Mus musculus: one gene and its partner. The protein of the gene in region 1 interacts with the protein of each later gene in a pairwise test. Links are inferred from orthologs where the notes say so. Each region holds a gene or a part of one and is shown on either strand. Other genes may lie near its edges.

What was found.
Region 2: the proteins of Cep57l1 (region 1) and Rad51d interact in binary tests that used the Homo sapiens proteins (3 or more experiments, as listed by UniProt). The two-hybrid records come from large-scale screens. The link is inferred for Mus musculus from reciprocal best matches to the Homo sapiens genes CEP57L1 and RAD51D.

Annotation. Positions count from the first base shown.
Region 1 is NC_000076.6:41,807,037-41,811,310, reverse strand, and holds the start of Cep57l1 (centrosomal protein CEP57L1), read left to right. Parts: upstream 1-1,442; 5' UTR 1,443-1,523; intron 1,524-1,647; 5' UTR 1,648-1,663; coding exon 1,664-1,738; intron 1,739-4,274. Other genes in the region: Sesn1 (sestrin-1), read right to left, coding at 11-289. UniProt on the Homo sapiens protein: Centrosomal protein which may be required for microtubule attachment to centrosomes.
Region 2 is NC_000077.6:82,880,595-82,884,242, forward strand, and holds part of Rad51d (DNA repair protein RAD51 homolog 4), read right to left. Parts: intron 3,371-3,648; coding exon 3,289-3,370; intron 3,034-3,288; coding exon 2,899-3,033; intron 2,389-2,898; coding exon 2,293-2,388; intron 1,268-2,292; coding exon 1,177-1,267; intron 1,078-1,176; coding exon 1,007-1,077; intron 1-1,006. UniProt on the Homo sapiens protein: Involved in the homologous recombination repair (HRR) pathway of double-stranded DNA breaks arising during DNA replication or induced by DNA-damaging agents. Bind to single-stranded DNA (ssDNA) and has DNA-dependent ATPase activity.

The DNA.
Region 1 (4,274 bases):
CTGCTCTTACCTCGACGCTCTTCAGAATGAGCCCGCTTCTCTCTCGCACATCTTTAAAGGGACATCTCTTAGAGAGCATAAGCAGATGAGCAAGAAGTTTATTCATCCCATCCAAAGAAACCGCGTTTGAAAGTCCGTCTGAAGGTCGGGAAAGTGTCTCTTTCGCTGAACGAAGGTATTCGGTTTTTCTCAAAACGATCTGCCTAATGTTTTCCAGTGCTGTCTCTCTAGTAGTCGTGTCTCTGCTGCACAGTCCCTCCCATCTCGCTTCATTCTCTCCTTCAGCCATGACAATCAAGAGCTTTTTCTTTTTCAGCGTTTAGTCAGTTACCTTTCAGCATTCCCCCAAAGCAGCCCGTCGTTTGTTTGTTTTTTAAACAAAAAACAAAAACAACGAGAAACGCTAAGAATAAAGTCAGAGAAATCCAGCCGTCGTGAAAGCAGGCGTCTGGATGGCACTGGGAATCACACGTGCTTTTTAAAGTTGATGCTTTCAAATCGATCCACAAGGCGGATCACCCAGGCACCCTCTCCTACACGAGGGCAGTCTTCTGACAGAGATTGAAAAGAACAAACTTGGAAAGTTGCAATCTCACAGAGCTGGTTAGCTGGACACAGAGTCCCGGGGAAGTGTTCTCTGTGTCGCAGGGTCAGCGGATATCCTCACGTTGTGGAGCTGTCAAATCCGTGCTTGGTCCCAAAAGGCTGGTAAACAGTAGAAGGTTCTCCAGCCATTCGATTTTTTGTCTGTGCAGCGGCTGGTTCTCGACCGTTCCCACCCCGCCCTCCTCCGACACCAGTCTCCGCCCCCCTCGGCTCCTCCTAGCGCCGCGGCAGGGCAGCGGGCGGGTGCTGGCGGGGTAGGCGGTAGACCCTGGCCCTTAGCTGCTGGGGCCCGAGGCTCCGGTGCTCCGGGGGAGCAGTGTCCGCCAATCACAGTGTCAGCGGCGACTAAGGGCGGCGTCCCCAACCCTGCCGGTTCTTGTCCCCCGGGGTACGCCGATGCTCCTCTTACTCCTCTGTCCTCGCCCACCTCCGCCAAGCCAGAGGGCACCCCGCAATCCAGCAGTCATCGAGCCCAGGGCTGCACGGCTGAAGCAAAGGGCCCCAGGCACAGAGCCCGCCCCTTCGCCCAGCCCCGTCGGTGGGGATCGGCCCAGAGGGCGGGAGCAGGGAGGGGAGACGGGGTCCTCACCCCCAGCCCCTCCCCTGTCCCCGCCCGGGACCGCCGGGAGCCGCCCCTGCCCCATGCCTGCCTCTCCGCCCAGGCACACGCGACCCGCAAAGACAGCCATTGGAAGCAGCCCCGCCCTCGGGCAGAGTACCTCCGGACCCCGAGTCCAGCGCGCCACTGACTAAGACCGGCTGCTGCGCATGCGCGACGCCGGCCAGGGCGCATGCGCTTTCCGCGGTGTTGTCCTTTCTCGACGTTTGGAGGCGCTGGTTTGAAGAAGGGGAAAGAAAAGTAAGGAGTACAGATGCCCGGAGATGTTTATCGAACAAGAAAAGCCGAACAAATAAAGGTGCTCTATAGTATTCCAAGTAGAAATGGGATAGAATTATGAGTGACAGCCAAGCAGGCAGGGCTTTGCGTTGGCTTTTGGGAAATGTAGTTGTAATGCTAACTACGCGCTCTGTTTGCGACAGAAACTACAATTCCCAGATGCCACCGCGACACTTGTCTTTGCCCGCGAACCAACGGTTCTGGAGGCCGTGGTTAACTGGGAGCGTCCATCTGGTAAGCGTGGTAGGCTTGGTTGTGACCCGTTCAGTGAAAAAAAATTTTTTTTTTCCCCTCGGAAACTCTGGTGCCGACGCCATCTGGGATTGCTTCCTTTCCGTCGTGGCTTGCCGGGAGAGAAATAGTGCAGGTGCTCAACACCTTTGGTTGGGTGACTGAGGCAAGGATTTGGGGATCATTGTTTGGAAGGCCAAGGAGCAGCCTTAAGACAGGCAAACTGGAAAAAAAAAAAAAAGAAAAGAAACAAAAAAGCAAAACAAAAAACCGACGCCGCTGCTTCTGCTGTCCTCTTGCACATAGGCCCGTGCTGAATGGATTAGGAATCCCTAAGCGTTGCCATTGCACCTTTGCCCTTACAGGGATCTGTTTTGTGCTGTCTTTGCTCAGTCAGATAGCATCCGAAGGGGATCTTTGAAAGCAAGTCTCTTGTGTCTGAGACTGAAAAGAACTTCAAATGTCCTTAGGTTTGGAAGGTTCTGTATGAAAAGAAGCCTATAAAAACCTCCTAAATGTGTTATCTTTGAACGATATGGTCATTTCTCTAAAGGTGTTTTTGGAAGGTTTTTAATAGACTGGTAATCGGATTCGATTTTAATCCTTTGTTTTACAAAGTAAACATAGTCATAAAATATTAATCTGGAACTAAAGAGATGGTGCAGTAGTTAAGAATTGTTCTTATACAGTACTTAAGTTCGATTCTCAGCCCCAACTTGGCAGCTCACAGCCATTCATAACTTTAGTTCCAGAGGATCTGATGACTTCTAACCTCAGTAGACACCAGGCATAAACCTGGGGCACAGGCATACATGCAAACAATACACTCATTGAAAAATCCAAAACCATAAAAATTAATGAGGCTTTTAACATGAGAAAAGTGTAACAATAACTTTTATTCTCCTGCTGTAATTGCTGTCTGGAGGCTTACTGCCTCCATCAGCTAATCTAGGCCCAATCCTGCAAGCTTCTAGCTTCTGTAAAGGCCTATAGTGTTTCCAGCTTTTGAGACTTCCTGCTGAATAAGCTCACTCTTTCTAGCTCTTTCTGAATTCTTGCTCTCTGGTTCAACTCAGCTGTTTTGGCCCAAACTCCTCTGACTGATTCAAACTGGCGTCTCTTGCTTCTGACTGAATTGCTCTGCTTGGCTTCAAACTAACTTTAGCAATGTGTTCTACTCTTCTGGCTCCTCCTTATTCTCTGGCTCAGCCTGTCATGTCTAGCTTGTTCTCTCTTCACCCTGTCTCTGTAAAACTCTCCCGGTAACACTGTCTCTTTTCCTCTCTCCCTCTGTCTGCTCCCTCCTATGTTGCCTCTCTCTCCTCTCTCATGAGAGTTGGGTAGATCCTAGTCTACTGAATCTTTTTCTGATTCATCACTTTGTTTCCCTCTCTGTTAGACTTCACTTTCAAACAAAGCTGCTTCCTTCTACAAACTTTGCCTTCATTGTTTGGGATTAAAGGTGTGTACTAAGGGTGTATCTGTGTTCTAACCAGAGTAGCTATGTTGCCGAATTAAAATCCCTCTACAGAAGAGTGAGAAAGATACCCCTCATCTTATTAGAACACTTATGTGGCCAGGCGGTGGTGGCACACGCCTTTAGTCCCAGCACTTGAGAGGCAGAGGCAGGCAGATTTCTGAGTTCGAGGCCAGTCTGGTCTACAAAGTGAGTTCCACGACAGCCAGGCCAGGGCTACACAGAGAAACCCTGTCTCGGAAACAAAACAAAACAAAACCAACCAAACAAACACTTATGTGTAAAATACAGTTGTAATACTATTTGATATTGTTGGCTAGAGGAACATTTAGCCCAGTCTTAGAAAGTCAGGGAAGTCTTCATCCCAAGGAAAATGAAGGCCAAATGAATAGCATAAGGCTTCAGTCACCAAGTGCCTTCTGTTCAGAAGGATGTCACTGAGCTTGTATTTTAAGATAGTAAATAAGTAATGTAGAGTATATAGCAAAGGAAACAATGACAGCCAGTTAGGAAGGAATGAAAGGTGCTTGGCTGTGGGAAAAAAATCTTCCTTTTCAGTGGGAGGAGGACCATTGCTGGATGGATGTGCAGGTTGCCTGCCACCTCAGGACAGCTGTTAGAAGATGAGCTTGCAGGGTGGAGTTGCCCTATTCAAAGACCTCCAATATTGAGAGGGTCTTTTAGCCTCAAAGCTGAGGGTGGGGGTTGGGTACACAGGGCTTTGCTTTTGGGAGTGGGTGACACAGACCATGGGCAGGAAGAGTCTGCACTGGGAGGGGGAGGGGTGCAGAGTTTTCTCTGCCTTGTTCTGGGTGGGCTTAATTCTCCAGAGTGTCACAGTTGACCAGCAGCCCTGGTTTTTATTTGGGGGTATGGAGTGTTTTGTTTTGTTTTGTTTTGGGTTTTATTGTAGGCTCCTCCAGTTACCTTTCTTCAAGTTAATTTATATACTTTGCATTCTTTGATGCAACAGCAGTTACTATTTGTAGCAGAACTAAAGAAAGGAAGAATTATGGAAATCAAGGGCTCTTGTGAGTTCTAAAGGTCATCCGATAACAATTT
Region 2 (3,648 bases), on another chromosome or scaffold:
AAATAAATAAATCTTAAAAAAAAAAAAAAGAAAAACCCTGTCTCGACCCCCCCCCCAAAAAAAAAAAAAAAAAAAAAGCCGGGTGTGGTGGCGCATGCCTTTAATCCCAGCACTACACTCGGGAGGCAGAGCCAGGAGGATTTCTGAGTTCGAGACCAGCCTGGTCTACAAAGTGAGTTCCAGGACAGCCAGAGCTATACAGAGAAACCCGCGGAAAAAAAAAAAAAAAAAAGAACATAAACGCTAAAAGTATAGGTAGTCCTGACTCAATAATTATACTCCTTTAGTTCCAGCACCCAGGAAGAAGAAACAGGTAGATCTCTGTGAGTTCAAGCCCAGCCTAGCCTACAAAAAGGAGTTCCAGGACAGTCAGGGTTATGCAGAGAAACCCTGTCTCAAAAGGATTTTCATTAGTTTTAATTACATGTATACACATGTGTTTGCATTTGGGTATATGTACATGAGTACAGGTGCCTATGGAGATGAGAAGAGGGCATTGGGTCTCCTGGAGCTGGAGTTACAAGTGGTTGAGGTCACCAAACTTCCTTTTTAAACTTTTTTTCTCAAAGCTGGTGGTGGTGCATGCCTTTAATCCCAGCACTTGTGAGTCAGAGGCAGGCAGATGTCTGAGTTCCAGGACGACCTGTTCTACAGAGCAAGTTCTAAGACAGACAGAGCTGTACAAAAAAAAAAAAAAACCTGTTTCAAAAAGTCAAATACATACATACATAAACACACATACATACATATATATATATATATATATATACACACACACACATATATATATACATATACATATATATATATATATATATATATATATATATATATATATATATATATATATATACACACACACACACACACACACACACACATACAGAACAAAAGGCAAGCTAGTAACACTTTTCTGACCTGTAGAAGCTAGGTTCTAGGTTTTGTCCTCTTAAGGGCTATTAAGTTCCAAACTAACATTTAAGAGAAACAGAGAGCTAGAAATTACCACCACTGCCACACCCAGGTCCCGGGCCAGGATCTTGAGCTCTCGGGCCAGCTGCATCATCAAGGCCAGGCCTGGGGGAGGAGCAGAGAGGAGGGGCAGCAGAGGGCCAAAGGACAGGGATGGCAGGTGAAGTCCCCACCCTGTCCCCAGGCTCTCCTTCCTTTCCTCACCTTCCCTCTGCTGACCTCCCAGAAGTGGGGCGACCACTGCAGTGACCGAGTCCACAATCACAACCTTCACGGCGCCTGAAGAAGTTGCTTCCTGTTGGAATGGGGACAAGCACAAACCAATGACTTCTAGGGCCCGCCCTGGGCAAGCTCCTCTATTAGAAGGTGGAGGCCAGTGGGATGGCTCAGCAGATGTAGGTCTTGGGCTCTTTCCTCCCTCCCCACCCCCCCTTCTCAAGTTTAGGCTGGGTGGTAGTGGTACATGCCTTTAATCCCAGCACTTGGGAGGCAGAGCTGGGCAGATGTCTTTGAAGTTCCAGGACAGCCAGGGCTATTCTGAGAAATTTATCACTTACTTGCTTAACTATGGAACCTAAGTGGATAATGTACAAAATGTTTGCGGCTATAGCAGCCATTTGCCAGTTCTGAGAGGAAGAGCAGGAGAATCGGACACTGGACTTAGTGCCAACCTCCAGTCTCACAGAGGACAATCAGATTGCTTCAAGAGTCTCCTAGCCAGATGTGGTGAAGCAAATACCTTTAATCTCAGCACTCAGGAGACAGGGCAGGGGGATTTTGTAAGTTCCTAACCAGCCAGAGCTACATAGTAAGACACCAACCCCCCCCCCCCCCCCCCCCCGCGCAACCCCCAACACACACAAAATGTTTGTGTGTGGGGGTTTGTTTGGTTGGTTTTGAGACAGGGTTTCTCTATGTAGTCCTTGGCTGTCCTGGAACTCTGTAGACCAGACTGGTCTTGAACTCACAGAGCCACCTGCCTTCACCTCCTAGGTGCTGGGATTAGAGGCATTCGACACCACCATGCCTGGCACAAATGTTTTTCTAATTGATTTCAGTGAGGAGCACAGAAGTGAAGACAGTATAACCCTGGACTCAGGGAGCCCACTGTTGTCCAGGGCTGGTGAGCCTGCCAACAAGGAAGCGCAGGAATTAAGCACCTCAGAATTCCACCTGGGGGTTAGGGGGTGTGCTCGTGCAAACCTAGCTGGGGATGTTACACATACATTCCGAATACAGTCCGTGGTCAGACACCTGCCCGCATACAGGCAACCCCTGGCCAGCTGGGGAAAGCAGAAGCAGGCAGATGAGCGAGCTCACCTGCTGGGCTATGGTGCCGCGAAGGTCCTGTAGCATATCTAGCATCCGGAAGATGTCAAATGAACGCACCACCTGTATCCTCTGGAGAGCACTTGCCTGAGGGGCGAGAAAGAGAAGCAGGGACTTGGAGAGGGGATCCAGGCAAGCCATAAAGAGTAATCATAGAGCTGAAAGGACAAAGAGGCACTTAGACACAGTGCTGGCATCCAGAATGGCAAATGGATTTTGCCTAATGGGCTGGATCTCACAGTGGTGACTACCTGGGTGCTGAGCTGTACGACATTCAGCATTCAGCAGGAAGGACCGATATGATTGACTAGTGATGCCTGCCCACACGCAAGAAATGGGCTAGAAACACAGATGCTAGGTGCTTGCTTGCTCTGATTTACGGTAAGCAAGGCCTTAAAGTTCCTGGAGAGTCAGTGTGGGAGGCAGCCAAGCTGGGATGGTGACATTAACATAAGCAGCTTTAGGAATGCAGAAGATTCTCCAGGTTCAAAGGGACAATGATGGTTCCCACAGACGGTGTAAACCCTTACAGCGTACAGGGTCATGAGGTCTCCTAGCATCAGGATTTTCTAGGACCCCAGCCACCCTGCCTCCTACCTGTTTCTCCTCATCTTGGGTTCTAGCCTGTAGTAGCTGGAGGAGGCGGGACGCCGTCATTCCTCCATTGGAATCCACATACAGTACATTCTGCTGCAGGCTATGGGCCACATTTGCAGCCACACAGAGACACACCTTCAGAGACAAGATGAGATGCTGGGTAAACCTAAGCCTTTGGAGAAGAGGGAGAGCCACCAGGCAGCTCCCTAACACATCCTGCCCAATTCCAACAACATACACTTGCCAAGGCCGACCCATTCTCAGCACACATCTGGTCTGTCTGACCTCGAAACTCACAAGGACACCTGCAAGTACCCCTCCCCCCCCCAGGAATTCAGGACAGTGCACCCACCTCCCCCAACCTTCCCCCACTGTTGGACCCATGGGTACCTGGGTTTTGCCGCTACCTGGGCCACCCACAATTTCAGTCACCTCCCCAGTATAGAGGCCAGCATCAAGTAGTTTGTCCAGGCTGATGGTAGAAGAGGAGAGAATGGGGGATGGGCAAAGAGAAGAGAAAAGAAACTGCATTAAATCTGCAGATAAATTTGGGGAGTAAAGCAGGCACAGTGACATATGCCTTTGATCCCACCATCAGGGAGGTGAGGTTAACAGGGACATAATGAGACCCTGGCTCCAAAAAAACCCATATACATACATATGTATACATACTGACCAAGTGCCTCCCTCCCTCTGCTCCGTGTGTGTGTGTGTGTGTGTGTGTGTGTGTGTGTGTGTGTGTGGTGTGTA